3 linked regions of the Xenopus tropicalis genome follow. The protein of the gene in region 3 purifies or fractionates together with the protein of the main gene of each other region. This does not show direct contact. Links are inferred from orthologs where the notes say so. Each region holds a gene or a part of one and is shown on either strand. Other genes may lie near its edges.

Region 1 (10,177 bases), on a different chromosome or scaffold from region 3:
CTCTTTGTTGAGATTTCCACCAGTTTCGGTGAATGGAACAAATCAAATTATCCATGCACAAATCCCCTCCGCTGAATTCCAGCACTGTGGGACATGAATGGAGAGGAGCAACACTGAGCTTTGGCCGTAGCCAGGAAACCGCCACTTCCACGGAACGGCCATGGAAATAATTGGCCACCTTTATTCTACAGAGAGCGCTGCTAAGGGAATCCATCAGTAACACATGGGGCTGACGGAATGGGGGCCGCTGTAGGTTTAACTTGGATCACTACAGAATAATCTCACAGCCCAATCAGGGCTTGGGAATAAAGAAATTATCTTTATAATAAAAGAGCACCTTACACGTTCTATCAGATTTTTGCATTAGTTACCCTTTACTAGATAGATAAGCTATCAGACATTTGTTTATCAGAATGCTTAGTAGAGGAATTCTGCCTCTGTGGGCAGCATGGGTTGCAGTTAATGCTTACACATCACTTTGATGAGTGTAGATACGGTCAAACAAAGCTTCCGGAGCCATCCATTTCACAGGCAGCCGACCCTGTAATTGGGAAGACAGAATGGACTGTTACATCAGCACAGGGGTACAGTCACAATGGCACCATCCAATCTTCCCTTATAATCCACTATCTATCACTTCCACCCGTGCCCGCTGACCTCAGCTGCTTTCTGGCTAAAGATAATGGGTGCGGGTAAACAGATTAACAGTGACTAGGTGACTCCATAAGGCTAGAATGCTTATCTGAGTGCATTGGGCCTGACAGAGGGAAAATGTAGTGGGGAAACAGCAATATCATGATTATAGATTAAATAATGCAGTTTTGCAATAACTGGGGCATTTCTTTAGGTACCACAGCTATATTCTATGTTTTTTCAATATACACTGAAAAGCTGCTGACTCGGTCTGAAGGGGCCTGACCCTTTTAAGTACCTCGGAATCACTCCACACCTTGCACTGATGAGATTTATATAGCTGGCCATATCAAGGTAGAGGCCCTTGTTTGGAGAGGTTGCCAAATGTGTGGATCTTGCCCTGTTTGGCTTAACTAGGCCAACCTGATCACTTGGCCTCTGGGCCAACAATCCTATCACATAGGGGTCTGTAACCACAGTCTGATATGGTCCTTGCTGGATCTGATTATGCTACAATAAGATATGGATCAGGCCATATTTTGACCCTGTATCATGGTCAATAAGCTGCCAACTGGGCCAAGTTACATGTCAGTATTAGGCCAAGCAAGGCTTAACATGCACGTATGTTAGATATGTCTGGCCGTATCTATGGTTATTAAAAGGCGCCCTTATTCCAGTGATCCCAAACCTGCCCCTATGCCCTGTAATCTTGCTCCATGCAGTCTCATAGCAGACACTCATCTATTAAATGTTGTTGTGAGCTCCTGGCAAATTCCTATATACTGTATAGAAGCCGAAGCATCAGCCCCACTGCTGCAACTAAGGATTCATTTTCACGTCTCTCTCAACAGCCCCTTCAGTGGGAAGTAAAACTCAATATTTGCCATGTAAAACGACAGTTCTGTTTGGATAACTTACATTTGTTGTTTTCTTGTAATAATCTATGTTGTGGATGTCCCTGGCCAAGCCGAAATCAGCAATCTTCATTACGTTGTCATCTGTTACTAACACATTTCTGGCTGCCAGATCTCTGTGAATGCACTGGGGGAGAAGGAGAATACACAACATGTCAGTACAAGCGGAGCTGGAATATAAGCAAGATGGAGCTTCCCGCCTGACAGGCAACCCTAGCCCACCTGTTGTCCCACAAACCCTGCCCTATGCATCATCCTGGGGAATATAGGGCCAAATCGCCCACAGCTACATCCTAGATATTCTTGTTATCATGACTGAAGAACTAGTACGCCTATCCTACATCAAACACAGGACCTCTGAAATTTGACTACCACTGGTCTACAGGGTAGTCTGGCTCTGTTAATATTCTGTTGCTCTGTTTAGCTGGTTTGTTGGTTGATCCCAGCCTTTAAAGTGGAGTGCATAATGCATTACAAAATGCATTTTTTTGGAACACTTGATGGACTAAATAAAGCTCATTTAACCCTACTTGTGTTTTTTCTCCCCAGGTAATATTGCAGATCCTTGTGCCCCATACACCTTGGTCTTTAGAAAAGGGGATATAGGTTTGATTCTAACTGCTGTGGTCTTACTAGGGACTGCAGCCCAACACCCACCTGCCTGTGTTTTTTAGTGAGAGAATCTCTCAGTATTATCTGCAGCTCCAGCAGAACTGAAATCCACTGAGGGAGACCATCTGCCTGGTGGAAGAGAGTTTGGAGACCGATAGAATACTGACGTCTAACTGCACTTCTACATCTGATTTTTAGGACTGTGCTGAGGCCTAAGGCTTGTGCCACGTGGGGTACTTTCGTAGCTGCTGTAGAACACCCAAACCCAGCCAAACCACCTCTTAGCGACTATAATAGAAATCCACCTTGGGGCTGGGGTCAAAGACAGATGATATGGCCAGGTTTAAAATTGGCCCATGTGGTGCTTTGGATGCTGCAACCCAAAAGCCATCCTAGACTCCCCATTAATGGCAAAAGGAGGTGCAAAGAACTACCCATCTAGGCTGGGGCCAAGATGTAAAGTGGCTGCCAACCTTACTGTGCTGATTTGAGTACTAAGGCCAGGTATAGGGTAAGTGAGCAGCCTCTAGAGGAATGTTTGAGGCAGAGGGACGTGTGTGGATGAACTTTTTCAAAACAGGGTAGGAGGGCATCACCCACATCATATCTAGAACTCTTAATACAATACGTGCAAAACTTACTTTTTGTGATGCCAGGTACTCCATGCCACGGGCTACCTGGTAGGCGCAAGAAACTAGGTCCTTGAAAGTCAACTGCTCAGCTGGAATTTTGCAGGTGTCAAAAGAATAATCCATTCCTGGGGGGCGCCGTGCCTTTAAATACTCCCTGAGGTTCCCTTTGGATGCGTATTCCACCAGAACGTACAGCGGTCCTGCGTGGGATAGATGGGAGACAGTATATATTTACAATGGGTAACAGAAATTTCATTAACACAGTCCAACCCAATAAAAGAAAAATGCAGATATGAGATTACCACTAACCCCAGTTGGAGGCTGAACTGTAACTCCCACAATCCCCTAATGCTGGAAGTTGTAGTTTATCAACATTTAAATGAAGACTTTCTTTCAACCATAGGGTCACACAAGGACCCATTTTCGAGAAAGGGGCATATTTGGTAGAATAAACATTATTTTGTCTTTTGCCCCATTTGCCTGCAGTATTGAGCCTCATGAGACAGCAGCCCCTGTTTAAATGAGGCCGTTTACGAAGGTTGTTATTTGTGATATAAACTTCATCAATATGGGAGTCAACATTTCCTAACGCTTGCAGTTATATAACTTACAGGCCATTTCTAGCACAATGTAGGACACAGGCTTACATACCATCCTGAGTGCAGGCTCCTAGCAGATTGATGATATTTTTGTGCTTTCCGATCATTTTCATCATCTCCATCTCTGAGACCAGATCTGAGAGATCTTTATCTGTGGCATCATCTGCAAGACACGGGAGACAAAGTAATAAGCACAAGCAGTCACTGCAATAAGGGCCCATGGAACTGCTAAAAGGGACACCAACATGGTTTTGTTATCAGGGCTTAATGTATTGGGGGCATGGCACTTATTATCTAGAATAGACACGTCTAAAGGTGGCCATACATGGGCAGATTTCAGCTGCCAATTCGGGTCCTTTAGACCGATTCAGCAGCTTATTTGCCCACGTATGGGCACCCCCTATGGGCCTATCCGACCAATATCTGGCCTAACATTGGTCAGATCTCGATCGGGCAGGTTTGACTTTCTGCAAGGAATGGGGAGCGCTTGGCGCACTGATGTAGTCCTCGGACCAATGGAGACTATGCCCGCCATTTTAATTCAATTGTTTGCCCATAGGACCCATCTAAGGACCAGCTTAAATGGACATATCAAGAGAAGAGCCACTTGTTTGGCAACCTCGCCAAATGAGCAAATTGCAACATGTCTGGCCACCTTAAGAGAAGTCACAAATTCTTTTTTTCCTGCCAGGTGCCATTGCCCAAACCAAGATGTTAAAGTGTTAGAGTGGTGAGATACAAGTCTCATGAACTAATAACATTAAAGCCTGAATTAACATACTTCTAAAGCAGTATGGAGATCTTGTTCTACCCAGACCCAAACTGGCAATCTGTGAATTCTGGCAAATGCCAGAGGGGCTGCTGTAAGATGCCATAGACAGTCCCTATTTAGTGGGCTGGTGGGGGGCTGTTTGGGTCTCTATGTACTGGAAATGCCAGGGCCTATTTTGAATCCAAGTCCAGTCCTGATTCCACCCCTCGTACCTTTAAGCATCTTTACAGCTACAGTTACAGGCTTATTTGGCCGTTCCTTTTCAATGCCGATTGCTTCTGCCATCACCACCTGACCGAAGCAGCCTTCCCCGAGGGGCTTTCCTAAAGTCAGCCTGCAAAAGGAAGAAAATTAACTTGCCATCAGCATATGAGGTATGTAGATCAATATCCTATTTATGGCTGAGGAATTCCACTAACCGTGTTCGCAACAGCTCCCACTTAGGATCCAGCGGTAGGCCCAGTTCCGACACATTAGCCAGCATGGTTCCGTCGCTGGAGGACAGATGAGTGATCCTCACCAACGGGGTGTTGGAATTCATGGAAGAGTTGGACTCTAGAGACACCTGCTTAAATAAACCAAACAAATGTGTATTATTGCCAACTGCTGCACCTTGTCTACGCCAACAAATGTGCTAAGGTGAAACCTCAATATGGGTGACCTAAATGGTTTAGGCTGTTATATAAAATCAGGCAGATTGTCCTTTACTTTCTCAAGTGGAGGTATTTATTAATTTTCAAGGCCCTTTAAACTGAACAGATTTACCTCTATATGTCTGTAGCTCAGGAGTCAGGGGCAAGCAGCATTCATTCAACTGTACCAGGTAAAGAAAGGGGTTTTTTTGGTGGGTGGGGGGATTATTAGAATAAATATAAAACTTGAATCTAATATGATACTCAATAATGATATATGAGTACTTTATTGTACGGCCCATTGGGATGTACATGCCCCACTTATAGTGTCACGTAATATACCTACTCTTTATACTGAGTGTCATCCGGCAATAAAGGAAATAGGTGGTGAAGAAAAAGAGATCATTAGGAGGAAAGGTAACATTTCAGAGAGTTAGGATTAGAGAGGAAAATAAGTGCATTCAATTAGAACTAAATACAGGTTAATTGCCAAGGGAGAAGGCAAAGAAGAAAATACATGTAATAATGGAAGGTGAATTAGCACTTATTACATGTGATATAAACATTTTATTAATGTTTAGGTTAAAAGTGGTATTGAGCGTTGCTTAGTATTTTAATTATATTTAAGCAGGGATTATCTTCCATTTATTTTCCTTTAAACAGAGGCCTCGCTTATGTTTATAATACGCTTCACTTCCAGGAAACTGTTGCAGCTGCCAAGGGGGAGCCGATGTAGTCCTTATAACCTTGGCCATCTTCAAATGTCTCCCAAAGCTGTTACTACAGCCTTTTAGTATAGACTGCACCTGAACAACCCTTCTGGTTGTTCTCAAAACATTGCAGCTCCCACTGGTTTGTAGCGAAGGAATGGGCTCCGCACATACAAATCTCCATCTATCCTCCCAACAGCGATGATGGAATGAGGGCATCGCCTATCAAGCCCAATTCAGTAGCCATTTATATTGAGCTAGAACTGTTACAATGCTGGTTATAAATCAAAGTCCGGCCTCATTTCATAAACACAATATACTTTTTCCCTTGTTAGGTTATTTCTTAGGGTGCCAAAGATGAACCCTGGTGTCCTTATTGGACTGAGCATGGTCAGGAAACTGCAAATCTAGGCAGGCTGAATGCTTGCCTTAAGGTTTGTATTCTTTTTATTTGATCCATATAAATGCTGATGCATGGAGCTTCCATAGAAGATGTAATGTACAACAGTTCTATTGATATCCTTCCACCAATCCTCTGCCAGATTACCCTGTGCTAACCAGCCCTGCCCCTTAACCACCTTGGCAACTAATAGTGATCCAGTATACAGTGTTGGCCTTAAGTAAGCAAGAGAAACACCCTCATAGTCTAACCTCTATTCAAAGAAAAAAATGGAAGACAGGTTCAGCTTATAAAAAGTGAATAATAAAAAAACTAAAACACCAATATCAATCCACCTGCCCCACCATCCACGGAAACTGAGAAGATCTGAGGACCACAAATCCGACAGAGAGGTGGGCATTCTGACTCTTCCATAAAGAATAAGTGGAAATTCACCCTTGAGGAAAGACAGAGAGAAGTAGAGTGCAGTAATCTTGTATCTACTTTCTGTTACCTGCCGTTTAAGGGGAAACTTGGAGACTTTATGCACCGGCGGGGCACTCATTGCCTTTTTCGAAGGGACCTTTACGCGGTAGGTGACGAAGATGATAACCAACAGTATGAACCCAGTGATGACCGAAACCACGATAAGGACGGTCGTGGAGCTTGAAGAAGTTGTTGTTGGCTTCTCCACAGGTTCTGCTGAGGATGGAAAACAATCAGTTGCAACCAAGAACCCGCAGTTATCATAGCAGAAGCTGTTAGTGTAGAGCGGGAAGGGACTACTTTTGTTTGGGTAAGATTAGACAGCCACATACCTACATGTATTCAGCCGATAGCGAGGCCCAGTAGCCCCATGGAAGTGGTTGGGTGGGTGAAACCAAATAGAGACATAGGGGCTAATTTACTAATATAGGTGTAGAATTGCACCAGCGCTCTTTCCAATAGCAGCCAAAAGGCAGTTTGTTTTTATGGGCCCTACAGGCCTTGGTGTGTACATGATGGCTTGAACCAAATAATTCCAAAAACTATTATCTTCTGCTTATAACTATATAACCCACTCATGTATAAATGCAAATACTGTATTTAGAGATAGGATCATTTGTACAGCTGCAGCGCGGTGCTCATAATTTACTTTTTGTTTCACAGAAAAAAGGAGCATATTAATAAACTACATTTTGGCTTATATATTATATAGTGAATAATCAAAGGTCAGAATCCCCTTCTCATAAATGGAGGTTAAACTCTACAGAACAGTGATTTTACTCATCTAAGGGATTTACTTAACACTTCCTAAGTGAATATTTTCTGCACAAACACTGGAGTGTGGCAGATTATTGGTGGGTACAATGGCTACTGTTATTATACATTTGCTTTAGTGCAAGACAATTGTTATTAATACAATACAAAATAATTCAGGAAACAATCCATTCTTCCATTCATTCTGCTAAAATGGATATTCGAGAACAAATAAGAAAATGGAGAGGGGCCAAGAGTAACACAGAGCACAGAGAGAGACAGGGAGAGAGAAAAGGCAATTTATCCACCACCTCAAGGAAAAAGAATCAGGCCATTAACTGATCAAGTGCCACAGAAGGACCAACGGACACTAAAGGGTGTATTTATTAACACTGCAGACAAACATCACCGGTGATGTTGCCCATAGCAACCAGCCAGCAACTAGATTTGAATGGTCACCTAGAAAACAAAAGTGAAGATCTGATTGGTTGCTATGGGCGACATCACCGGTGATGTTTGTCTCCATTGTTAATAAATATGCCCTTAAATGTGTTAATCCCTCATTTGCACGTGGTAGTAGTATAATGATTCAGTAAGAAGATCACATGTACAGAAATGCCAAACTAAGGGCCAAGTCAATTTAAAAGGGATTGTTTACATAGGCCTTCCAGGTCCATTCCTCTGCTCAAGGCACTTAGGCCTCTAACTTCCCAATCTGTGGAGATGGCCAAAGTAGTAAATGTGGATGAGGAGCCTAAAGGCCATTTGCAAACCTTACTCTAATGAGCAGAAAAACTGAAAGCACCTTAGGAAAGAGCCACATTGGGCATTTTGGGTTCTGGCAGAATCCTTTAGTGTGTCTATGTGGGGGCAAACCTATGGGCTTGAAGCCAAAGTGCTGGTTGAATCTTTTGAGTGACTACTTGCATTGGCAACACGATTGCATGATTCATTCTGAAAGGTGGAGAGGTCTATTTGGCATTTCTTGGTTACATGGAAAGCGCCACCGAAACAGCGTGATGAGCAAGAATACCTGGGAGAACCGTCAGCCAAGCAGTGTGATGTGAATAGCCAATAGAATTCCCAGCCAGACAAGTATATTCCCCAGCATCCTCAAAGGACACATTGCGTAAAACCAGCACCTCAAGATCCTTATCCGAAGAGTAAACACCAGTAGGCTAAAAAGAGATCAGAGAAATTAAAGATAAAGGAAAAGAGAACGGGGCACAATGAACAAGCATGGAATAAATCATTGAAAGGCAACCCAGTTTCCCAGCACACTGAAACACAAGAATAAGAAACCAAAGCAGATGGAGTTTGCAGAAGACCCAAATGATGACACCTGTAGGAATAAAAAAAAAAGGACACCAGCTCCCTTCACCAGCCTTTTATACACCTGTAGGAAAGAAAGACACAAGCACCCTTCACCAGGCTTTATATTCTATATCATGGCAGCATGCACGCAATGGGCACCTGTAATTACTGACCCACAACACAGCATGTTTCATGATTCTTGAAATGGTACATTTGGCTCTCAAATGGATGTTCAGTTTGAACTTTATAATGAATATAATGGAACAGGGCAGTGCACAGCTAAGTGCCACCTTCAGGCTAAAGACAAGAGGTTAGTGGGATAGTCTGGATCTAACGCTCACTGGGCACACCTTGGCTACACTTCTTTTTTTGGAAATCATTATAAATCAACCTAGGAGTGGATGTCAGTAACACAATAAGAAGTAATACAAGTAATACAATATACTTATGAACAAAGTCTGGCTTTGCCAAAGAATGGCGCCGGTCTATAGAAAAGACCTTAACGGAGGTAACTAATATGACAGCCTCAGTAATAGAAATATGCAGAGGGAACGTTGGCTGTAAAGAAAAACTATCCATTTTATTCACAAATTGGGGATTCATTTCCTCTCCCTGTGCCCTGAAACTACAGCAGATGAGAATAAGGATGAAGGGTACCTTTTTATATAAGTTACCCATAAGCACAACCGGCTCTAGGGGCACTATTCCATTATATAATATGTACATTTCTATTCAATTAAAAAACTGTGCTTTAGATCCAAATAATCCCAGTTCCAACAAAGTAATTTCTTTATGCATAAATCCTGACTTTATGCCAGGGTGTAGGGGGGAGGAAGGTTAGCTAGTTGTGGGTCCTGTTGCGCTACAATCCAATGTATTTCAGTGTTGAAGAGGCAGAAAGAGCTGCAGATGTTAAGTCACCCAAGGAACCAGAGAGACTGTTATCAGAGCACCCAAGGACTTGATAAAGATTCCTTTCTTTCCTTTCATACCAAGATGATTGTTTTGGGTGCCTATAGTTTTACCTGATGCTGGTTTGTAAATGTGGAGCCAAAAGGACGCCTCAGCTACGCCTATGAAATTGTTGGCTCTACACACATACTGTCCTTCATGGGTCTCTGTCACATTTTTTAGACTTAGGGTAGTATCGACTTCAGTGCCATTGGTGAAAGACTGCAGGAACAGACAGATGCTGTGACTTTGGTTAAAGGGTAAAAAAAGGAACATTGCTACGGATACTAGATAACACATTGTATTGCTGAGATGTCTACAGGTGAGGTCCAAGCTGGGAGAACTGCCTTTGAGTCCTTATACACAGACTTTGATTCCTGCTGTAAAGCCTGTAAACATCATAAATGTAACTGTTCTGGATGCAGAAACCAAATACAAGTCAGGCTAATATTAATGTAAACACAGCCATTTGGCGGCCATCTTGTATATAACCCACAATGCACTTCTCAGCATTCTGGGATTGGAACCTAATGCAAGCTGTGTCCACATGTCAGACAAAAACAAATGAAAATAAAGCAGAGGCTGAAATCTGTTTTTAATGGATTCTTTAAGAATATAAAGGCATGGTCTGTAAATCTGCTGAGAGGATATTCAGCAAAGACAAACACTGGCCGAGAAATTCAGCTTCCTACCCGCATTAGTGTAAATGCTGTCTCAATTACCCGGATTTATAAATAGGATCCGGAGACAAAATATAAGCAAAAGCTGCGGTCTGAAGCTGCCGGTGACA
Region 2 (10,277 bases), on a different chromosome or scaffold from region 3:
GCTTAGAAGAATCCATGGTTGATTAGTAACAGCCCAAAGTTCGGCGTGTCAGATTTTATGAAGTTCTGCACTTGAAAACACATGACAACTTCTAATGGCTATAAAAGGTAATTAGGCCAGGGATCTTGCAAAAACAGAGTTTATTACTGGAAAAGTGTAAGGGTCTCCAAATTTTGCACATGCTTCAGTTACTATTTCTTTCTGTGTATGTTTTTTTTAACATTTGAAAATATGTTTTGGTTGTTAACTCACTGATTTCTGCAGTAGATCTGTTGTGCTTCCCTATTTGCTAATAGGTAATTTTAATATAATAAATGAATTTACCACCACTCTTTAATCTTTCATCCCATATATTCAAGGTCAACATTTCTTCTGTTAAACTATATCAGATATTTTGCTAAAATCAATACATGCGCTGCAAACAACCCCCCCCCCCCCCCCCCCACCAGCCAAAAACATAAAAAAAAGTAAGAGTATTGAACTTTAGCAGGAAATATTACCTGAGCTATCTCTTCTGGTGTTGTAACAGGTTTTGACTGATTTTTTAACTCTTTGATGACCGCATCTACTGCCATCATTACACCTAAACAAGTAATACAAAAACGGAAATGTTACTACATACATACTATATTATATATATAAAAATTATGTGGTTAGAGATCTGTTTCTAAATATCAGTGGTTAATAAACCGAAGTCTATGTATTTAAACGTATCTAGAGGTCACCTGGGATATGCAACAAAAGGCACCAAATTAGGCAATGTGCAGCAACCCTTTATAAACCAGTCAGCAGAAAAATGTACTGGTCACACGCTTTAAATTTTATAAGGGTTACTGCAAACTTTGCACCTTTTATTACATAAGGGACGGTCTCCTAAAGAGTTAGTGAGGGATAGCATCAGGGTTCAGTACTCGTGATGTGTAAGCAAACAGAGAAGGAATGAATAGAAGTATTTAATACATCTGTCCCAACAGAAACATCATTTGCAGATATTATCAGAAATGCATTTCAGTAGTTCCATTTATAGCTTTACTTTGTTCTGGAAATAAATATAAAGTTATTTAGACTGCCATTGTGCTTTATGGCCTTGGAGCTCTTTGAGAGAACCGTGAAGGACAAACCATCATTCATTCCGTCACCATTTTGCATTGAAAGGAAAAGAGCAGTGGTTGACACTGGTGATGAAACGGTTAGCTTGATCAAGTACATGAGGTTAAACTTTACAGATACAGGTCTTTCTTTAACTTCACTTTCTATGTTTCTATGTAATGTTTTGGCACACATACAATCAGTGCTGTCATTTTAGTGGTGATATTGTAAGAGTAAAATCTGGGTTTTAGTATGGTATCTAAAAAAGTTAACACTAAATGCTACAGGACTTGTCAATACCCATTTCAGTGGAAAATAATGGTGTGCCAGAAAGCAAAATTTATGTTCCGTTAACGTAACTTCTGCAATCCAAAGGGAAAAAAGGGGTTTCAAACTTACCTCTTCTAATTTCTACTGGATTTGCACCTTTGCTTATCTTTTCAAAGCCTTCTTTAGCTATAGACCTTGCAAGGACAGTTGCAGTGGTTGTTCCATCACCTGCTTCTTCATTTGTGTTGTTAGCTACATCTTGAACTAGTTTGGCACCTATGTTTTTGTATTTATCTTTCAGATCAATTGCTTTTGCAACTGTTACGCCATCTTTGGTTACTTTTGGACTTCCCCAGCTTTGTTCGATAATAACAGTTCTTCCCTAAAAAGACATTTAAAATAAAGAGAAAATAACAGTTGTATTCCATGCTCAAGAAGTTTATCTTCTGTGTTAGCAACACTACTGCATATGTGCAGTAGAGTTAACCATATGGTATTTGCATAAACATCAGGATTCTGAAGATTTGTCTCAAAGGTGGGGGGGTGAATTCCTTCCTGAATAAAGAGCAACTGGACCAATCTCTGGATCAGCTGGGTGCATTTCAGTAACTTTGTATTAAATTGCTTTCTAAATAGGCATGCAACCCTATTTTAAACTGTCTAATGTACATATGCTTAACAGCTCACTTTTAAAAACACGAAACCCCTTTTTGAATCTTACAATGGAACCTCCATTCTTTTAAAGCCCTTGCATCTCCTCAAAGGATCTACTGGCAAATATGTATATTTTTATACAGTTGCCTTGTATAGTTAGATATTGTAATCATATTCCCTATAAAAGTGAGGGACACCTTTGCACAACTCTGAATTTAAACAGCGAGTGTCAGCAAAAACATCTCAAATTATCTTTTAGAACAATCTGCTGTAAAGATAAATACCAGTGCAGCAATGAAACCCAGTCCCAAAAGTTTTTCTGTTCTGCCTGTGTGACGTGCAGACGTTGTATGCAAACACTGACACATTACTTACAATACCCTTCCAATAAGGTCATTAGTGAAGAAGTTAAATAAAAGTGGACCCAATACAGACCCCACTAAGAACCTTACTCCAGGTAGAGAATGTACCATTAAAGGACAATGAAAGGTTAATATAAATTAAAAGTAAGTCTAAAGGCATTCTTTTTAAGTACTTACTGCATATCTAAATTCCCAGATCCCGGCTTGTTTCTCTGAGATATGGTGCTGGCAGCCTACAGCAGTGTGAAGACTACAGTGACATCACTGAAATCTCTGTCCTTCCTGTAGGTGCCAGCGGCAGCCTTCCTATTCTCTGAGCATGTGTGTAACTTGATCCTGTCTGCTGTTCTGAGCTACACATGCCCACCAGCCAATCAGAAGCGGATCTGGCAGAGGGGAGGGGGGGGAGGGAGTGAAACACATTGCAGTATGAAGCAAGGAGGGAAAGGAAGGGAGAATACCTTTTTAGAGATGGCTGCCTGTTCTAGACAATGTGAATTAAGTGTGACTGAGTAAATATTTGATTAGGTGAGCCAAAAGTGTGGCGTTTTTACTAAACAATAGGAGTATTGGGCAGTATGCTTTTTAAATTTTGACTTGCATTCTCCTTTAACAACCACCCTCTGTTCCCGATCCTGTAGCCAGTTTTCTATCCATGTGCAAATGACTTCACTAAGACCAACAGACCATAGTTTAGAAAGCAGTTGTTTCTAACACTGTATCAAATGCTTCTGTCAATGCTGATTTAGGAGTCTCTTAAAAATTTCTGTTTCAGTTGTGCAGTTTAATTTTTTTATCAACATTTTGTTAAAGATTTCATATCATACATTTATCTTGTAATATACTAGCATGTAACATAAGTAAATAAGAGAACAAAAAAGGCAGCTACATACAGAGCAGCTTAACACATTACACACTAGAAAGAAAAAACTACCACAAAATTCAAGTACATATTCTTCACTGCCACTTTAAACAAGTCCTAGCTTTCAAGAGTATCTTCTAGTATAATAGTGTAATACTAGCTTATACTCAACTCAAATAAATATTAGTAGGTGCTAAAATAGGTATTGTCCTAAAAACATACAACATTTTTGTTAACATGCTAGCCTTTATTGCTGCCACTTTACCCAACCAGGAAGCATCACCTGTACACCCACTCCCTTGTTAACACATCAGATTTTGTAATTAACTCTTACAACATAGTGACTAATTTTAGCATCTATTTGAATATAAAAAGTAAAGGCTACAATACCAAATTTTAATTAAGGACAAAATGTAATCCCACACTTTTTATTAAGGTTGTATGTAGGTTACCTTGGGTCCCATTGTCACAGCCACCGCATCAGCCAAGAGATCAACCCCTTGAAGCATAAGTGCTCTTGCATCAGCCCCAAACTTAACATCTTTGGCATACTGGCGGCTCAAGCTCAAGGACAGCGCTCTGGAAGCTGGCTTTGCATGTCGCAGAATTCTTTGTATTCTCAGCATTTCTAAAACAGAAAAATGGTTGCATTGTTTCATGGTGGTTGGTTTGCTATTTACTGAGCTAAACAGGGCAAACAGAGATGTTTAAGATAATTCATGTATCTTATATTGTGGGGTTGTCTTGTTTTTTTCAAAATTAACACAACACACGAAATGATTAATTATAAGCCCTTCTGCTCTTGGCCTTCAGTTAAATCCTGCTTGATTTTGAGAGTCACTTAAAATTTAACGTATTAAAGCTTAAAATGTTCGTGTAAAAATGATGAATACAATCACATCACTTTCAAAGTGAAAGGTCTTTAAAGAACATTTATAAAAGCACTAACACTGTACAATAGAAAAAAAAAAAACCATGGGGAAAAAAAAAAAAAAAAAGCCCACTAACCGAAGAGGGAAAGAGGGCCCCAATTCATTTCTTTTCTCATATTAATCTTTTCTGGGTCACTAGATATATTCATTTACAACTGATACACAGCATCAATAGCATTGCTCTAATGCTGCAGAAAAATATATTGGCTAATAACCATTTTTAACAGATACTCTTACAGATTTTAGTTCAGCAGCAGCTGCAGCTAAATTTAAATTTTCACATCAATCTAAGTGTGTGAATCAGCATTACAATTTCAAAATGTGTTTTGGCAGGGAAAAAAGCTGGGGTCATTGATAATTGATAATAGCATGCAAAGACAATGTTATGATGTAAAAAAGGTTTTATTTCTGGTGTCTTCCCACCAGCAATAAAGTGAATCGCCAGTACGAAGACACCTGTGTCCCTTCATTTTTTTGAAGTTTGCTAATTGCCAGATTCAGTTAACCCTGGGGTTATTGATTCTCAGTTGAGCCAAAAGTATCAGACTAACCCACTAAAATTACACACACATAAAATGGGTACATTATAAGTTGTAGATTCTCCACTGGAGGAAAAGACAACGCTAAGCCATTAAAAAAGGCATTTTGGCATTTTACTGCCAAGAGATTCACCACATTAGTGCCACCTAGAACACTATATTTATTCTGCAGAAACCATTACTATTCCTCAGTACAGAGCCCTAGAAGCTTTCTCTGTTTGAGATTGCAGCTGCCATTTTAGCTTGGTCTTCATAGCTTCCTGCTTCAGCTCTAACCATTATAGCTCAGATTACACATTCCCAAGGGAGGGGGAGGGAGTTCTCAACATTCTTGAGGGAGGAGGGGGAGCAAGAGAGAACTGTGCAGACTCTGGCCCCAGGAATGATGGATTTTTCTGAGAGAGGAAGTCAGATACCCTAACATGTTTACAAAAAAAAGAAATCCTGCGTTTCTTTTGACAGAGAACTCAGTGCAGCGTTTCTCTGAGTGCTTAAGGCTGTATTTACATAGACCTTTCTGATACAGCTTACTTAGTTTTTACCTTTCCTTCTCCTTTAAAGAAATTAAATTCTTGAAATTTCCATGTCAGGTGTTTTAACATAGTTCACTAGAACTATTTTAGCAATTATTTTTTATTTCTGACTGTTTTTCTAATACTGATGTTTCATTTTGGGCCTTCACATGTCTCCCTGACCCAGATCAGGAGGTGGGAGTCTCTGGCATTGTTTTAATTTGATACAATAGTGGATAGATTTCTTATTTGTCCCTTTAAATCCATTCTACATATTCATACACAAATAACACATGTTATGTACATATTAAAGTATGCCCTTATATTATCTCATTCTTAGAAAATAATGAATGAAAGCTAAACCTTTACATAAAAACATAGGGTACACAAAACTTTTCAGAATTAAAGAATGCCCTAAAAATGGGAGAGAAGTTCCCCTTAATTACTTTAAACTTGGGATGATGACATAACAAAGACCTGACATGCAGGTATCTGAAAGGGCATAATACACAAGGTCATAATATGAATGAACTTCACAGAACTACAACCAATTTTTTTTTTAGTACTGAATTGCAATACATAGTGGAGTATTGCAATACATATAAAAACAGTCAGAAAAGTGACACTCATAATTGCATATTACGCTGCTCACACTGGGGACCTAGTTTAACAAATGAATCTGCTTTGCTACACTAACAATGGTTAAACCACTCACGTATGTTGTATTATTTACTGTAGGCAGAATCTTATTCTACGGGAACAGACTGAATAATTGTATGTACCAACCCATGATTTAGATTTTAGAATAAGACTCGTCCTTTACAAATCACTGCAATACACGCGTTCGGCACCAATATAATTGCTTATAAACAAATATAAGCTTATAATAACATATAAACTTGTAATCTCATTTTTATTGCTGTATGTGAAATGTAAAAAAAAAATTCATATTGAAAACCAATTTAACTTGAGAATTCACAATGTTTCATTGCTCTAACGGCTAGCTGCAAGAAATGACAGTTAATTCTTGCAATTTACACTCAAAGCCCAATTGTGAAAGAAGAATGACACAAAAAGAAGCCGGTCCAGCAACTCACCTGAGCAGGCAAAGCGAAGAGCAACTTACTGTACAAGCACACACGTGTCTGCAGCCGAATGGAATTGTCAGACCTACAGCACAAGCTCTAAACCTCCTCTGGGAATGACGTGCCTCAGCCTTCCGGAAGCTTTAACTACCACGGGCTAAGCATGAACGAATAACACGGCTGAATAAAAGAACCCCCCTTGGCATTTATTACAACTGAACAAGTTGCTCCTCCTATTACGTATGAGCTTGCACAACGACCTAAGCATATGCCGATATACTAGTTCCTGGGCCGCCTTTCCAGAACGTTCTGGAATAGCTTCGCTTTCCAAGGTTCGAGGTGACATTGACAGATAACCCGGATGCAAAAAACTAAAGTTCAAAGCTCATCAGCCTTGGGCTGATGAGTTTTGAACTAGTCGTTAATATTCGTTTTAATACAAAGCGGACTATATAGTGTTGAAAAAATATACAACATATGGTTAGTGCAATTCTATTTTACACCTGATTGTGTGTTTTTACGCTCGTCCCTTAATTCTACTGCGCATGTGCAAAGCTTGCCTTCTATTCACGTGGTTGTAGGTCAAGTGTCCCAGTCTGCGCTAGGAGCTTGTAGAGTTGGTTGCTGCTTTGCACATCAAGTCTTGCTTAACTATGGTGAGTGCTGCGTTTAACCGTTAGGTATGCCTGACTATCGCATGATGTGCCAGTTTTTGTTATTTATATAGTTAATTCGTATATTTGCGTTGTTGCTGCTGTACATTCACCAGTAATATGTAAGGTAGAAGAATGATGTCCTGCGTACAAGTAAGTGGGGATTATAATTGAAATACATATTGTAAAAAGTTAAACTATGCAAGCTTGCATGATGTTTAAGACACGCTTTTTATTTTATTTTTCAAGTGTTATGGCTAAAATGAGCAGCACTATAAATTAAAGAATAGTCGCAAGTCATAGATTCAGTGTTCTGTGGATTTAGGGTTGATCAAGATTCTTTATAGATTGTGTTGCATGGGTTTTATGTAATAATTAGTTTTATAAGGTTTGTTAACTGTCCACTTTAGACGTCCTATTTACCTGCTTTTCTCTACATTTTTGTTTCATGCTTTTGGGATAGCTCATACACTGTTCATTGGATGAGGATCACACTTCAGCTTTTCTTTAAACTTACTGCACCTGGTCATGTACAACCTGCACATATAAAGAATGGGCAGCAATACAGTTTAGGGTTCTGCTGCTCAGAATAGTTGTCCAGATTAGGAAAGGCATTGTCTGTCAGTAGTTGACGCTCTGGCCTTTAAGGTTAGTACCACACTTGGTTGCATTTATACACAGGCAGAGTATCAGCTGATCCACTTGCTCCTGTGTATACACTGAAAGACACTGCTTCAGCCTGAGTGCAGTGGATTTTGGTGCAGGAATGGTAACTCATGCATTTTCAAGTAAAATTCCACCCCCATGTCTGCACCAAGGCTGATTCGGTGCCTTGTAGTGAACAGAGACCAGTCACAATTATATCCATTGGTGAAGGGAGATTGTGGTTTATACATAGTTGATGTCCATCAAGTTCAACCTTTTATGCCCATATAACCTGCCTAACTGCTGGTTGATCCAGAGGAAGGCAAATAATCTCTTCTGAAGCCTCTCCAATTTAGCACAGAGGGTGAAAAAATCTTACCTGACTCCAAGACTGCAATCGGATCAGTACCTTGATCAATTTGTACTATGAACTATCTTTCATGACCCTGTATTGCCACACTTGCTAAAAAGCCATCCAACCCTTTCCTGAAGCTATCTAATGTATTAGCCAGTTTGACTGATTCAGGGAGAGAATTCCACAACTTTACAGCTCTGAACAGGACCTCCTTTCTTTTAGTCTGAATGGGTGCACTCGTGTCTGCAGAAAGGGCATGGGCCTACTGGTAAATAAAGCATCTATCTATACCCCATTCAATACAGCTCAAAACCTTTTTGCCCTTGCAGCTGCTGCCTGGCATTGTTTGCTACAGCCAAGTTTATTATCTACATGGTCCTTCTCCATTATGGATTTGCCTAGTCCAGTCCCATTAAGGGTATAAGTGGCTTGTATATTTTTACATCCCAGGTGCATGACATTACAATTATTGACATTAAATCTCATCTGCCACATAGCCACCCGGGTTGCTAGTTTGTCACAATCCTTCTGCTAGGATGCCACATCCTGGATAGAATTCATTGGGCTACTGGGAGTTTTGTGTCAACTGAAAACACTGATACATTCCTTATAATACCCTCCCCTGAGTAATCAATAAACACATTAAATAAAAGTGGAACCAATACAGAACCCTCATATGATTTGATACAATAAAAATCCCCAGGTACTACAAATTAGAATGCAGTGTGGTCAACAAGGTCAGAAAAGCATATTACTACTTAACATGGTGACATAAAATCAAATAGGACAAATGTCCCCAATCAGACTAAGTAAATTAACAAACCATGGTGTAAAACAACAAAACTCATGGGGGGCAAATTCATTAAACCACAATTTTTTTGTGGTTAAAATCACGATATGCAAATAATTTGGAGTAACTACAGTAATTTCTGATGTTTGGAAATGTCACAAATTCAAATCAGTCGTAGGAAAATATTGTGGTTGCGTACTTGTATCCTTTTGAGATACAAGCGATCGATTCTGCAACTTTCTTTTCTCTTCCTTGATTGAGATTCCCTTTGAAGTTCAGTGTCCTTCTTGCGTATGATTTATTGGCAGCCCCTTCAATGCTTAACTGTTAGACAGGGGTCAAGGGTGTTTAACGCTCACACAGCTACATATTTGTTCTGGAATTGCTGTCCCTCAGGACCAGGTTAGTATGAAGGCCAGGGGCCTCTGAACTTCAAGGGGGATTGTAATCAAGGGAGAGAAAAGAAAGCTGCAGAAACAAACGCTTTTACATCCGAGCAAGTATCACATTTTTTAACAGACATATATTACAAAGTGTAGTGCTAAGAATCTATATGTGTATTTTAAAAAATGACTTTACATCCTCTTTAAAATTTCTCCGCAAAGTGAAAACATCCTGCATGAAACCAATAGTTTTCCACAGTTTAACACCAGCAAAACAGTGGTTGTTTTTAGAGTGACATCTTTAAGGTCATTTATAAACAAATGAGGGTCAAAGACCAAGGATAAACATTGTTCCAACTAGAAAATGTTCCATTTATCACTATTCTTTAACCATTTATATGCCACAGAATGTAGAATCTGCATTCTGTGGATAAAAGTATTTAAGTGCCACTGATCATAGATTCTACGTTCTACTACACTTGCAGATCTAGGAGAGGGTAGCAGGCTGCAAGATCTGTTTGGAGGAGGAGGAAGGTCAAAGGGATGAAGAGGAAGGGGCCCAAGGGCCTGCTCGATCCCCCCCCCCCCCCCCCCCTCTATTTGTTGCACACGAAGCATTGATTTTAGTGATTTTATTGCATCTCACATTATTTTTTGTTACTTGTGCCCATGAAAAATTTGTCTGCTATGTATATATTTGGGTGCCTCTGTATGCCAAATAGATTGGTAAATCTATACATATTGGGCATCAAACTGTTCAGCAGACCCCTGAGGTTTATATTTAGAATGTTGGATGTTATTACATTACAATATGTGGAATATATAATGGGGTAAAATGCAAGCTTTGTGACAATTAAATAAAAAACGCTACTTTTAGCAAAACTTTGTAGTTTGGTAGTTTGCAGTAGAAAGATGTATTTACCCATTTAGTTTTTTGCAGAATGTGTACTTTGGGGATGTATATGGGTCAGAGCCTTACTCCAAAGAGAAAATGTAACATTAACAACCACTCTTTCTTCCCAATATGCAGTCAGTAATATTTATTAAGGATCATGGTTGCTATGTTTTAGAGATGAACTAGTAGGCTGGCCAGTCACAGCTTTTAGATATGATATGCATGCATTAAGCATATATGTATTAGTACTG
Region 3 (10,016 bases):
GTGAGCTGGGGGGCTGTGAGCTGGGGGGCTGCAGTCTGTACCTAGGCTGTGAGCTGGGGGGCTGCAGTCTGTACCAAGGCTGTGAGCTGGGGGGCTGTGAGCTGGGGGGGTGCAGTCTGTACCAAGGCTGTGAGCTGGGGGGTACAGTCTGTACCTAGGCTGTGAGCTGGGGGGCTGCAGTCTGTACCTAGGCTGTGAGCTGGGGGGCTGCAGTCTGTACCAAGGCTGTGAGCTGGGGGGCTGCAGGCTGTGAGCTGGGGGGCTGCAGTCTGTACCTAGGCTGTGAGCTGGGGGGCTGCAGGCTGTGAGCTGGGGGGCTGCAGTCTGTACATAGGCTGTGAGCTGGGGGGCTGCAGTCTGTACCTAGGCTGTGAGCTGGGGGGCTGCAGTCTGTATCTAGGCTGTGAGCTGGGGGGCTGCAGTCTGTACCTAGGCTGTGAGCTGGGGGGGTACAGTCTGTACCTAGGCTGTGAGCTGGGGGGGTACAGTCTGTACCTAGGCTGTGAGCTGGGGGGGTACAGTCTGTACCTAGGCTGTGAGCTGGGGGGGTGCAGTCTGTACCTAGGCTGTGAGCTGGGGGGGTACAGTCTGTACCTAGGCTGTGAGCTGGGGGGCTGCAGTCTGTACCTAGGCTGTGAGCTGGGGGGGTACAGTCTGTACCTAGGCTGTGAGCTGGGGGGCTGCAGTCTATACTAAGGCTGTGAGCTGGGGGGCTGCAGTCTGTACCTAGGCTGTGAGCTGGGGGGCTGCAGTCTGTACCTAGGCTGTGAGCTGGGGGGGCTGCAGTCTGTACCTAGGCTGTGAGCTGGGGGGCTGCAGTCTGTACCTAGGCTGTGAGCTGGGGGGCTGCAGTCTGTACCTAGGCTGTGAGCTGGGGGGCTGCAGTCTGTACCAAGGCTGTGAGCTGGGGGGCTGCAGTCTGTACCTAGGCTGTGAGCTGGGGGGCTGCTGGCTGTGAGCTGGGGGGCTGCAGTCTGTACCTAGGCTGTGAGCTGGGGGGGGGCAAGGACGGGGCAAAGGGCAAGGATTGGGCAGAATGCTGCAAGGTGTGCTGTTGTTTTTCCAGATCCGGGAGGTGCGGGGGGGACCCCCCCCCCCCGTAATGTGCAATGGGTGGGAGATGGGGAAAGGGATGTTCCATACACGGCCTGGGGTGGGGGGGCTCTTATGATTGCGCCACTTCCACACACATGACCTTAAGGTGCAGCAATAGGGGGGTCACCTTGCACCCAGGCGAGACTGGCATCACTGCACCCCAAGGCCAACCTACACCCACAGAACCACTCGGGCTTCACACTGCCAGTAAGTGATGCCACTGTGATGTGATGTAACTAACCCTTCGACTGCTGGTAGGAAGAGTGTCAGTCAGCACACAGCATGCAGAGGGTTAAGGCCCACAGTTACTCTCAGGTTAGGGTTCTCTTAAAGGGGTAGTTCACCTTTAGTCTGATGTAGAGAGTGATATTCTGAGACAATTTGCAATTGGTCTTCATTTTTTATTTGTAGTTTTTTAATGATTTCAGTTTTTGTTCAGCAGCTCTCTGGTATTTTTGCAGCTATCTGGTTGCTAGGGTCTTATATACCCTAGCAACCAGGCAGTGGTTTAAATGAGAGATGGGAATATGAATAGGGGAGGGGCTGCACCAAAAGATACGGAATAAAAATTAACAATAACAATAAAACTGGAGCCTCACAGAGCAATAGGGTTTGGCTGCCGGGGTCAGTGACCCCCATTTGAAAGCTGCAAAGAGTCAGAAGAAGAAGGGAAATAATTCAAAAAATATAATATAGCAGATAATAAACTCTGTAGAATACAATGGTGTTTTATAGGGCTTATCTATTATCTGCTATGTAACATGTGCCTTTTTTGCAGCGTGAACGGCTGCCCCCGGGGCTACACAGCGGGGTATTTATATAAACTATAGTAGGGTTTCTGTAGCAAACACCCCAGCTGTACCAGGGCAGGAATGGCTGCCCCCGGGGCTACTCAGCGGGGTATTTATATAAACTATAGTAGGGTTTCTGTAGCAAACACCCCAGCTGTACCGGTGCAGGAACGGCTGCCCCCGGGGCTACACAGCGGGGTATTTATATAAACTATAGTAGGGTTTCTGTAACAAACACCCCAGCTGTACCAGTGCAGGAATGGCTGCCCCCGGGGCTACACAGCGGGGTATTTATATAAACTATAGTAGGGTTTCTGTAGCAAACACCCCAGCTGTACCGGTGCAGGAATGGCTGCCCCCGGGGCTACACAGCGGGGTATTTATATAAACTATAGTAGGGTTTCTGTAGCAAACACCCCAGCTGTACCAGTGCAGGAACGGCTGCCCCCGGGGCTACACAGCGGGGTATTTATATAAACTATAGTAGGGTTTCTGTAGCAAACACCCCAGCTGTACCAGTGCAGGAACGGCTGCCCCCGGGGCTACACAGCGGGGTATTTATATAAACTATAGTAGGGTTTCTGTAGCAAACACCCCAGCTGTACCGGTGCAGGAATGGCTGCCCCCGGGGCTACACAGCGGGTATTTATATAAACTATAGTAGGGTTTCTGTAGCAAACACCCCAGCTGTACCGGTGCAGGAACGGCTGCCCCCGGGGCTACACAGCGGGGTATTTATATAAACTATAGTAGGGTTTCTGTAGCAAACACCCCAGCTGTACCAGTGCAGGAACGGCTGCCCCCGGGGCTACACAGCGGGGTATTTATATAAACTATAGTAGGGTTTTTGTAACAAACACCCCAGCTGTACCAGTGCAGGAATGGCTGCCCCCGGGGCTACACAGCGGGGTATTTATATAAACTATAGTAGGGTTTCTGTAGCAAACACCCCAGCTGTACCAGTGCAGGAACGGCTGCCCCCGGGGCTACACAGCGGGGTATTTATATAAACTATAGTAGGGTTTCTGTAGCAAACACCCCAGCTGTACCGGTGCAGGAATGGACACGTGTATGCTTGTGTGCTTTTTGTGCCCCAGAGTGAGAGAGGGGTAGGTAGGTGTGGCCCTTGCCTGGGGCAGGTACAAAGGCTGGGAGATGAGGCTGGAGGGCCCCCATGTGGTACAGAATGGTGCTGAATAATAGAGATAGTGGCTAATAGGCTTCCAGTGCCCACTGTTTTACTGAGCCCCTAGGGCAATTGTGCTCACTGCTCATTGGCTAGGGCCTAGGGGTGGGAGGAACCCTGGCTCTGTGGCAGACAATCATTATATTGGGTCAAAAACAACGGGCTTCATACAGGAATCTGCATAATTCCTTCCCCCTGAAATATCCTGCAATCGATAGGGCAGCTCCCTCCTTTATAGTAAGGGATTCCTCTATTTGCCCCACATTTGGGCAGATAAGTGACTGGCAGTGGGTTTGGTGGCCCTCCTTCCCCCAGAACGCAACTTTCCCTTTAATAAAAATCCATACAAATTACAGCTCCCAGAAGCCTCCGGCAGCCAAAAGGCAACAGGAAAGGAGGAAAAGATACAAGGACCACAAATCCCATAAGTCAGTGCGGCCGGCAAGGGCCAGAGATCTGATTCTGCTCCCCACTCTGGGGCAAGTTCCTTTCCTGATACTCAGAGGGGGTATTGGGCACATACACCAGTGCGGGCTGCAGCACGGATTTCTAGGAATTGCTGATTAGCCCAGCCGGGCATAGAAGCCCCTGGGGGGGTGGGGCAGCATCTCTGCATATAAATATATGGGGCGGAGTTAGGAACATCAGGGAGCAACAGCGCCACCCACTGCTCCCACACAGTGTTACAGTTGTGCTGCAATAAGGGGACCCCCAATAGAACAAGACAGCACCACCCTTACATACTTCTAAGGAACTACAACTCCCACCTTGCTCTTTGGTACAACCCCCCCCAACCCCCAGAGATGGTCATTTAAGCCTTTACCAGTGGCCCCTCCTACAACACCCACCCTAAGGGCTTTATGGACTTGGCAAGAAGAAACCAGCAGCACAAACATAATGGCCTTGGGCAACAAGGCACAGGGAGGGGCATTATCATTTTCATATGAGCAGGGGCAGCCAGGCTGAATCATGCTCAGAACAGCACCCTCTCCTGGCTGTAACAAGGAGCTGTGCTCTGATAAACTTCAGGCACACTTTACTGCTGCGCTGCAAGTTGGAGTGATATCCCCCTCCCCCCCAGCAGCCGATCAGCAGAACAATGGGAAGGGAGCAAGATAGCAGCTCCCAGTAGGTATCAGAATAGCACTCAATAGTAAGAAATCCAAGTCCGGCTTGGGACTCCTCCAGTTACATGGGAGTAGGAGAAACAATAGGTTAGCTGAAAGCAGTTCTAATGTGTAGCGCTGGCTGAAAGCTCAGACTCGGGCACAAGGCACTGAGATGGCGCCTACACACCAATATTACAGCTACAAATACATTTGTTGGTTGAAGAATAAAAGGATAAATGACAGAGGGAATTATTTGCTGTGTAACAGTGTTAGAGATACAAAGTGTCCCATAAATATCATGCCAGTATCCCAAGCCTTATAGAAATCCAAGGCTGTAACTACTGCACATAAGGTTTATAGTTGGGGAAACAGCCCTGTAACACAGCATTGTATCCGGTGCAGTCGGCAGCACATAAACAGGAGACAAACTGTTTCACTGTAAAAAGATCTTTATTTTGCGCAACATTTCTCAACTTTACAACAACAAAAAATAAAATAAAGTTCCGTATTGAGGCTCTCGATAGAGAGATGTGTAGGATGGGGGTGGGGTCTCAGCATTCAAGACATCCTGGGGGCGGGGGCACGAGATTCCAGTCAGAGAGATGGGGGCTACCACTCAGCAGATTTGGGGGTGCTACAGATTGAGGTAGCATTGGGCAGAAGTACCTCACCCCCCCAGACTGGCCTGGCGTTTCTATTTGCAAACACCAGCACATTCAATCGCCCCCCCCATGCAAGTGAATGGGAGAAGGCAGCAGGGGGGTCTCTAAAGCTTCCCAGTAAGTACCCCCCGTGCCTCAGGGGGGGCACAGAGGGACACGCCCATTACAATAGTGGCAGAGGGTAGGATTAGAGGGGGGGCCTGTAAGGTGCATTGAGAGAGTCAAACAGACCCCCCCCCCCAGCAGCTGGCTAACAGCGGGCCACTAACTCAGGGCTACCTCAAGCCAAGCTAGCTGCCATACTGCTACAATAACTTACATAACTAACTGCTCAGACTGGAACACAACAAGGGGGGTGCAGAGGAAAGGGTTAAAGTCAGCAGCCATCAGTCTTGAAGCTCCCCCAAATATATTCTATAAGGAGGGAAGTCCATCCCCAGTATCATGTGATATTTAGAGTCCAAGGGAGAAGTCGCCCCCCTACCGAGTTACAGACAGTGCACATACGCGGGTGGGAGGGGGCAGGACGAGCGGGCAGCAAACCGATTAGTCGACTTCCTCCATGCGAGAAGCATCTTCGTCGCCCTCTAGGGGTGGGATCTCGTCTGCCACCGAGGGGGAAGTTTCCTCCACTGTTGCATCGTCATCATCAATACCTGAGAGAGACAAGGGGAAGTTAACCCTAAATGTGGTGGTTTCAGGACCCTACATACAAATCCCCTTTATGGCAGAAGGATTCTGGTAGCCATTCCCATAATGCTCAGCGACACCTACCCAGACCCAGCTTGATCATCCTGTAGATCCTGTTTGAGTGCGTCTGGGGGTCGTCCAGGGAGAAGCCGGATGACAGCAGCGCGGTCTCGAAGAGCAGCACCACCAGGTCCTTCACTGCTTTGTCGTTCTTGTCGGTTTCCGCTTTCTGCCTCAGGGTCTCCACGATGGGGTGCTCGGGGTTGATCTCCAAGTGCTTCTTAGCCATCATGTAGCCCATGGTGGAATTGTCCCGCAGAGCTTGCGCTTTCATGATGCGCTCCATGTTGGCGGTCCAGCCGTAGGTGCTGGTGACGATACAGCAGGGAGAGGAGACGAGTCTGTTGGACACGGTGACCTGCGGGGTAACAAGGGGCAGGTTGGGGGTTAGCAGGACAAGGCTATACTAGGGGAGGGGCAACATTACTTCCTTCTGCCCCATCCTCACCTTCTCTACTTTCTTGTCCAGAATTTCCTTCATCAGTTTGCACAAACTCTCAAATTTGGTCTTGTTCTCTTCCATCATCTTCTTCTCTTCCTCGTCCTCTGGCAGCTCCAGGCCCTCCTTGGTCACAGACACCAGCGTCTTCCCGTCGAACTCCTTCAGCTGCTGCACGCAGTACTCGTCGATGGGCTCAGTCATGTAGACCACCTCGAAGCCACGCTTCCTCACCCGCTCCACGAAGGCGGAGTTGGCCACCTGGTCCTTGCTCTCACCTGCGAGACAGAACAGAGGGGTCACGTGTCAGACTCTTCCTCTAAGCGAGCTGCGGAGAAGTGACCCCAGGGGAAGAGGAATACCCCTCTCTCCCAGGGGAGCCCATAATGGGATATCTTGCTGCAAGGGCCACTTACCAGTTATGTAGTAGATGCTTTTCTGGTTCTCCTTCATACGGGACACATACTCTGTTAGGGAGGCCATCTCGTCGCCTGTCTGGGAAGTGTGGTACCTGAGGAGCTCAGACAGCTTCTTGCGGTTGGTAGAATCCTCGTGGATGCCGAGCTGCAAGGAGAGGTAGGTCAGCAAGAGCCACTGGGACGAACAAGAGCTCCGCCCACTACAGCCCAGGGCACCCTCCTGCACTGCTCACCTTCAGGTTCTTGGAGAAAGCCTCGTAAAACTTCTTGTAGTTCTCCTTGTCCTCGGCCAGCTCGGTGAAGAGCTCCAGGCACTTCTTGACAATGTTCTTGCGGATCACCTTCAGGATCTTGCTCTGCTGCAGCATCTCACGGGAAATGTTCAAGGGCAGATCCTCAGAATCCACCACCCCGCGAATGAAGTCTGGAAGAGAGAAAAGAGTTAGAGGCGGCACAGGGAGAGACTGCCCAAAAGTCCTACATTCAGGATCCATCTGTGGGGCCCTGTGTGCCTACGTGTGTGTGTGCGCAGCTTAGTAGCAGCTACCAAATCCCCTGCCATAGACAATACTGAGAATTCCTTCTGCTAGACACACGTAGAGACAATTATCAGCAAATGATCAACATTGTCTGTTTCTGTAGCTGCTACTAGTAGCTCCGTGTGTCTTCCCCTTATAGATACGCGAGTGCACCAAGAGGCCTGTGCGTAAGAGACAAGGATTCTTGGGCTGAAATACTACAATAGGCAATTAATTGCCCCTGCCCCCCCACACACTTACCTGCCTGCCTGTGTGCCTATGGGTGTGCGTGGGGCCCTGCCTGCCTGTGTCACCACATCAAGCAAAAGATCTACATGCTAGACTGTTAATGAAGCATCTAATGCCAGACTATTGGAAGGCTTTACCCAGCATCCCATCCTATGGGGGGGGGGGGAAGGAGGGGGCCCACTAAGCTTCGGGCCAGTACTTACTCAGATACTCTGGGATCAGCTCGTCGCAGCTATCCATGATGAAGACGCGGCGCACGTACAGCTTGATGTTGTTCTTCTTCTTCTTGTTCTCAAACAGATCAAAGGGGGCGCGGCGGGGAATGAAGAGCAGAGCGCGGAACTCCAGTTGCCCCTCCACAGAGAAGTGCTGGGGGGAAGCAGAACAGGGGGTGTTAGCGCTCAGGAGAGAGTGTGGAACCCAGAGCTGAACAAGCGGTGCATTATGGGGTTTTTTTTTCTTCTTACCTTCACAGCCAAGTGATCCTCCCAGTCATTGGTCAGGCTCTTGTAGAACTCTCCGTACTCTTCCTGGGTGATGTCGTCTGGGTTACGGGTCCAGATGGGCTTGGTTTTGTTCAGCTCCTCCTGGTCGATGTACTTCTCCTTGATCTTCTTTGTCTTTTTCTTCTTGTCCTTCCCCTCCTCTTCCTCATCGGAGCCCACGTCCTCTATTTTAGGTTTGTCGTTCTCTCCCTCCTCTTCCTTCTTTTCTTCCTCTTTCTCCTCCTCTGCCTCATCGTCGCTGATCTCCTTTTCCCTCTCCTTCTCCAGCTGTCGGGGAGACAAATAGTGAGCCAATCGTACATCAGACCCAGGGCCCTGCCCCCAGCTGGCCGGCCATACTCACATAGAGGGTGATTGGGTAGCCAATGAACTGCGAGTGTTTCTTCACGGTTTCCTTGACACGTTTCTCCTCCAGGTACTCTGTCTGATCTTCCTTCAGGTAGAGGATGACTTTGGTACCACGGCCAATGGGCTCACCTAGCAGGAAATACCAGTTTGGGGTTAGTGGTGCCAACTTACAGGCCTTTAGGGGAATTCTGGTCCAATTGAACACAAACTCACCATGGTCAGTCTTCACGGTGAAAGAGCCGCCGGCGGAGGATTCCCACGCGTACTGTTCATCATCGTTGTGTTTGGTGATGACCAAGACCTTCTCTGCCACCAAGTACGCAGAATAGAAACCCACACCGAACTGACCAATCATAGAGATGTCAGCACCAGCCTGTCAGAGAGAAGGAACCACAACTCAATTGGACTTCAGGGAGACACCACTGGCTAGTGGACGGTACTTAATGCGCCAGCATTTAATAGTCAATGCTTTATATTGGGCCGCTGGTACCGACCTGCAGGGCCTCCATGAAAGCCTTGGTGCCGGACTTGGCGATGGTTCCCAGGTTGTTGATGAGGTCGGCCTTGGTCATGCCAATCCCGGTGTCGATGACAGTCAGTGTGCGCTCCTGGCGGTTGGGAATGATGTCGATCTTCAGGTCTTTGCCGCTGTCCAGCTTGGAGGGATCGGTCAGACTCTCGTATCGGATCTTATCCAGGGCCTGCGGCACCGAACAATGGGGAGAAGGTTGAGGATTGGCAGAGAGTGGCTACTAGCCCAGAGGGCCCCCCCCCCCTCATTATAACAGTCCCCCCAGACCCCTATGCAACAGGCAGTGAAGCTGCCACAATACCTACTAATATAACAGCTTGGCTGCAGAGCACACACACCATTCTATCACTAGCTGAGCCAAGAGGCCAGCTCTGCTTTAGTTCAGATACCCCCTCCCCCCACATATGGGTGCTTGGGCACTGGCACAGTTGGCACATAGGCAGCCAAGGACAGACTTACGTCGGAGGCGTTGGAGATCAACTCTCGCAGGAAGATTTCTTTGTTGGAGTAGAAGGTGTTGATGATGAGGGACATGAGCTGCGCAATCTCCGCCTGGAAGGCAAATGTCTCCACCTCCTCCTCTCCATTGTGAGCGACTTCAGGCATCTGTGTAAGGGAACGAGAGTCAGCTGGGTCTTAGGCAGGACTATTGCCCCGTGCAACACCAGGGGCCGTATAACTGCCCCCTCCTATGCAACATTCTACTTCCTGCTCTTATGAGCAGAATGGAAACAAAGCAGCAGCCTCTGTATAACACTCACACCCTGCCATTGGGGAAAGGGAGGGGTTTGTTTATATAGAGGCTTCACAGCAGCCATGTAAGGGACTTTTACTTTCAGTTCCACCCTGGTTAGAGAAATATATTTATATTAAATAAGTCCTATTATCTCCTTACAGCAACAGGCAGATCTCTGTGCAGAACTTGCTCTACTCATTGAGCTCACACTGAGTAACTGGGGGTACTGGCCCTTTAAGACCCTGTGAGAAGCTTTTAAATCCCCCCTCCCCCGATTTTGGGCTGAAAGACATTTGCGACCTGTCCCGCTGGGTGTGGGGCAACAGGAGCCCCGGGTGTGGGGGGCAACAGGAGCCCCGGGTGTGGGGGGCAACAGGAGCCCCGGGTGTGGGGCAGCTGTCAGTGTTATTCGTTCCCCCCCCCCCAGCAGAGGGAACACATGGACCAGCCCATACGGCGCAAGCAGCAGCGGGACAGACCATGACCGGGCGCAGGGGGAGCCGTTACCATGGATACACGGCCCGGCCCCGGCTGTGACGCGCTTCATCCCAACATGGCGGCGCTACCGGCTCCCTAACCATGTGCGCCCCCACCCGCGGGGGGGGGTAGAAAGATCTAGAAGGTTCCAGGGCCGGGGGGCGGGGCCGGGACTGACAGTTAGGGAAACCCCGGGAAT

What was found.
Region 1: the proteins of hsp90ab1 (region 3) and fgfr3 purify together in Homo sapiens (affinity purification with mass spectrometry; 3 studies listed by BioGRID and IntAct, with this or other methods). This does not show direct contact. The link is inferred for Xenopus tropicalis from reciprocal best matches to the Homo sapiens genes HSP90AB1 and FGFR3.
Region 2: the proteins of hsp90ab1 (region 3) and hspd1 fractionate together in Homo sapiens (co-fractionation; 3 studies listed by BioGRID). This does not show direct contact. The link is inferred for Xenopus tropicalis from reciprocal best matches to the Homo sapiens genes HSP90AB1 and HSPD1.

The regions. Positions count from the first base shown.
Region 1 is NC_030677.2:20,898,435-20,908,611, reverse strand, and holds part of fgfr3 (fibroblast growth factor receptor 3), read right to left. Parts: intron 9,610-10,177; coding exon of another isoform or gene 9,462-9,609; intron 8,301-9,461; coding exon 8,156-8,300; intron 6,586-8,155; coding exon 6,398-6,585; intron 4,731-6,397; coding exon of another isoform or gene 4,728-4,730; coding exon 4,582-4,727; intron 4,497-4,581; coding exon 4,375-4,496; intron 3,554-4,374; coding exon 3,443-3,553; intron 2,992-3,442; coding exon 2,801-2,991; intron 1,675-2,800; coding exon 1,552-1,674; intron 542-1,551; coding exon 471-541; intron 1-470.
Region 2 is NC_030685.2:46,530,356-46,540,632, forward strand, and holds the start of hspd1 (60 kDa heat shock protein, mitochondrial), read right to left. Parts: upstream 6,385-10,277; 5' UTR 6,318-6,384; intron 3,866-6,317; 5' UTR 3,864-3,865; coding exon 3,690-3,863; intron 1,742-3,689; coding exon 1,489-1,741; intron 584-1,488; coding exon 501-583; intron 1-500. Other genes in the region: hspe1 (10 kDa heat shock protein, mitochondrial), read left to right, coding at 7,094-7,111. UniProt on the Homo sapiens protein: Chaperonin implicated in mitochondrial protein import and macromolecular assembly. Together with Hsp10, facilitates the correct folding of imported proteins.
Region 3 is NC_030681.2:2,227,504-2,237,519, forward strand, and holds the end of hsp90ab1 (heat shock protein HSP 90-beta), read right to left. Parts: intron 9,211-10,016; coding exon 9,064-9,210; intron 8,774-9,063; coding exon 8,567-8,773; intron 8,446-8,566; coding exon 8,286-8,445; intron 8,202-8,285; coding exon 8,068-8,201; intron 7,992-8,067; coding exon 7,686-7,991; intron 7,588-7,685; coding exon 7,422-7,587; intron 6,876-7,421; coding exon 6,685-6,875; intron 6,597-6,684; coding exon 6,449-6,596; intron 6,311-6,448; coding exon 6,042-6,310; intron 5,952-6,041; coding exon 5,618-5,951; intron 5,500-5,617; coding exon 5,390-5,499; 3' UTR 4,613-5,389; downstream 1-4,612. UniProt on the Homo sapiens protein: Molecular chaperone that promotes the maturation, structural maintenance and proper regulation of specific target proteins involved for instance in cell cycle control and signal transduction. Undergoes a functional cycle linked to its ATPase activity.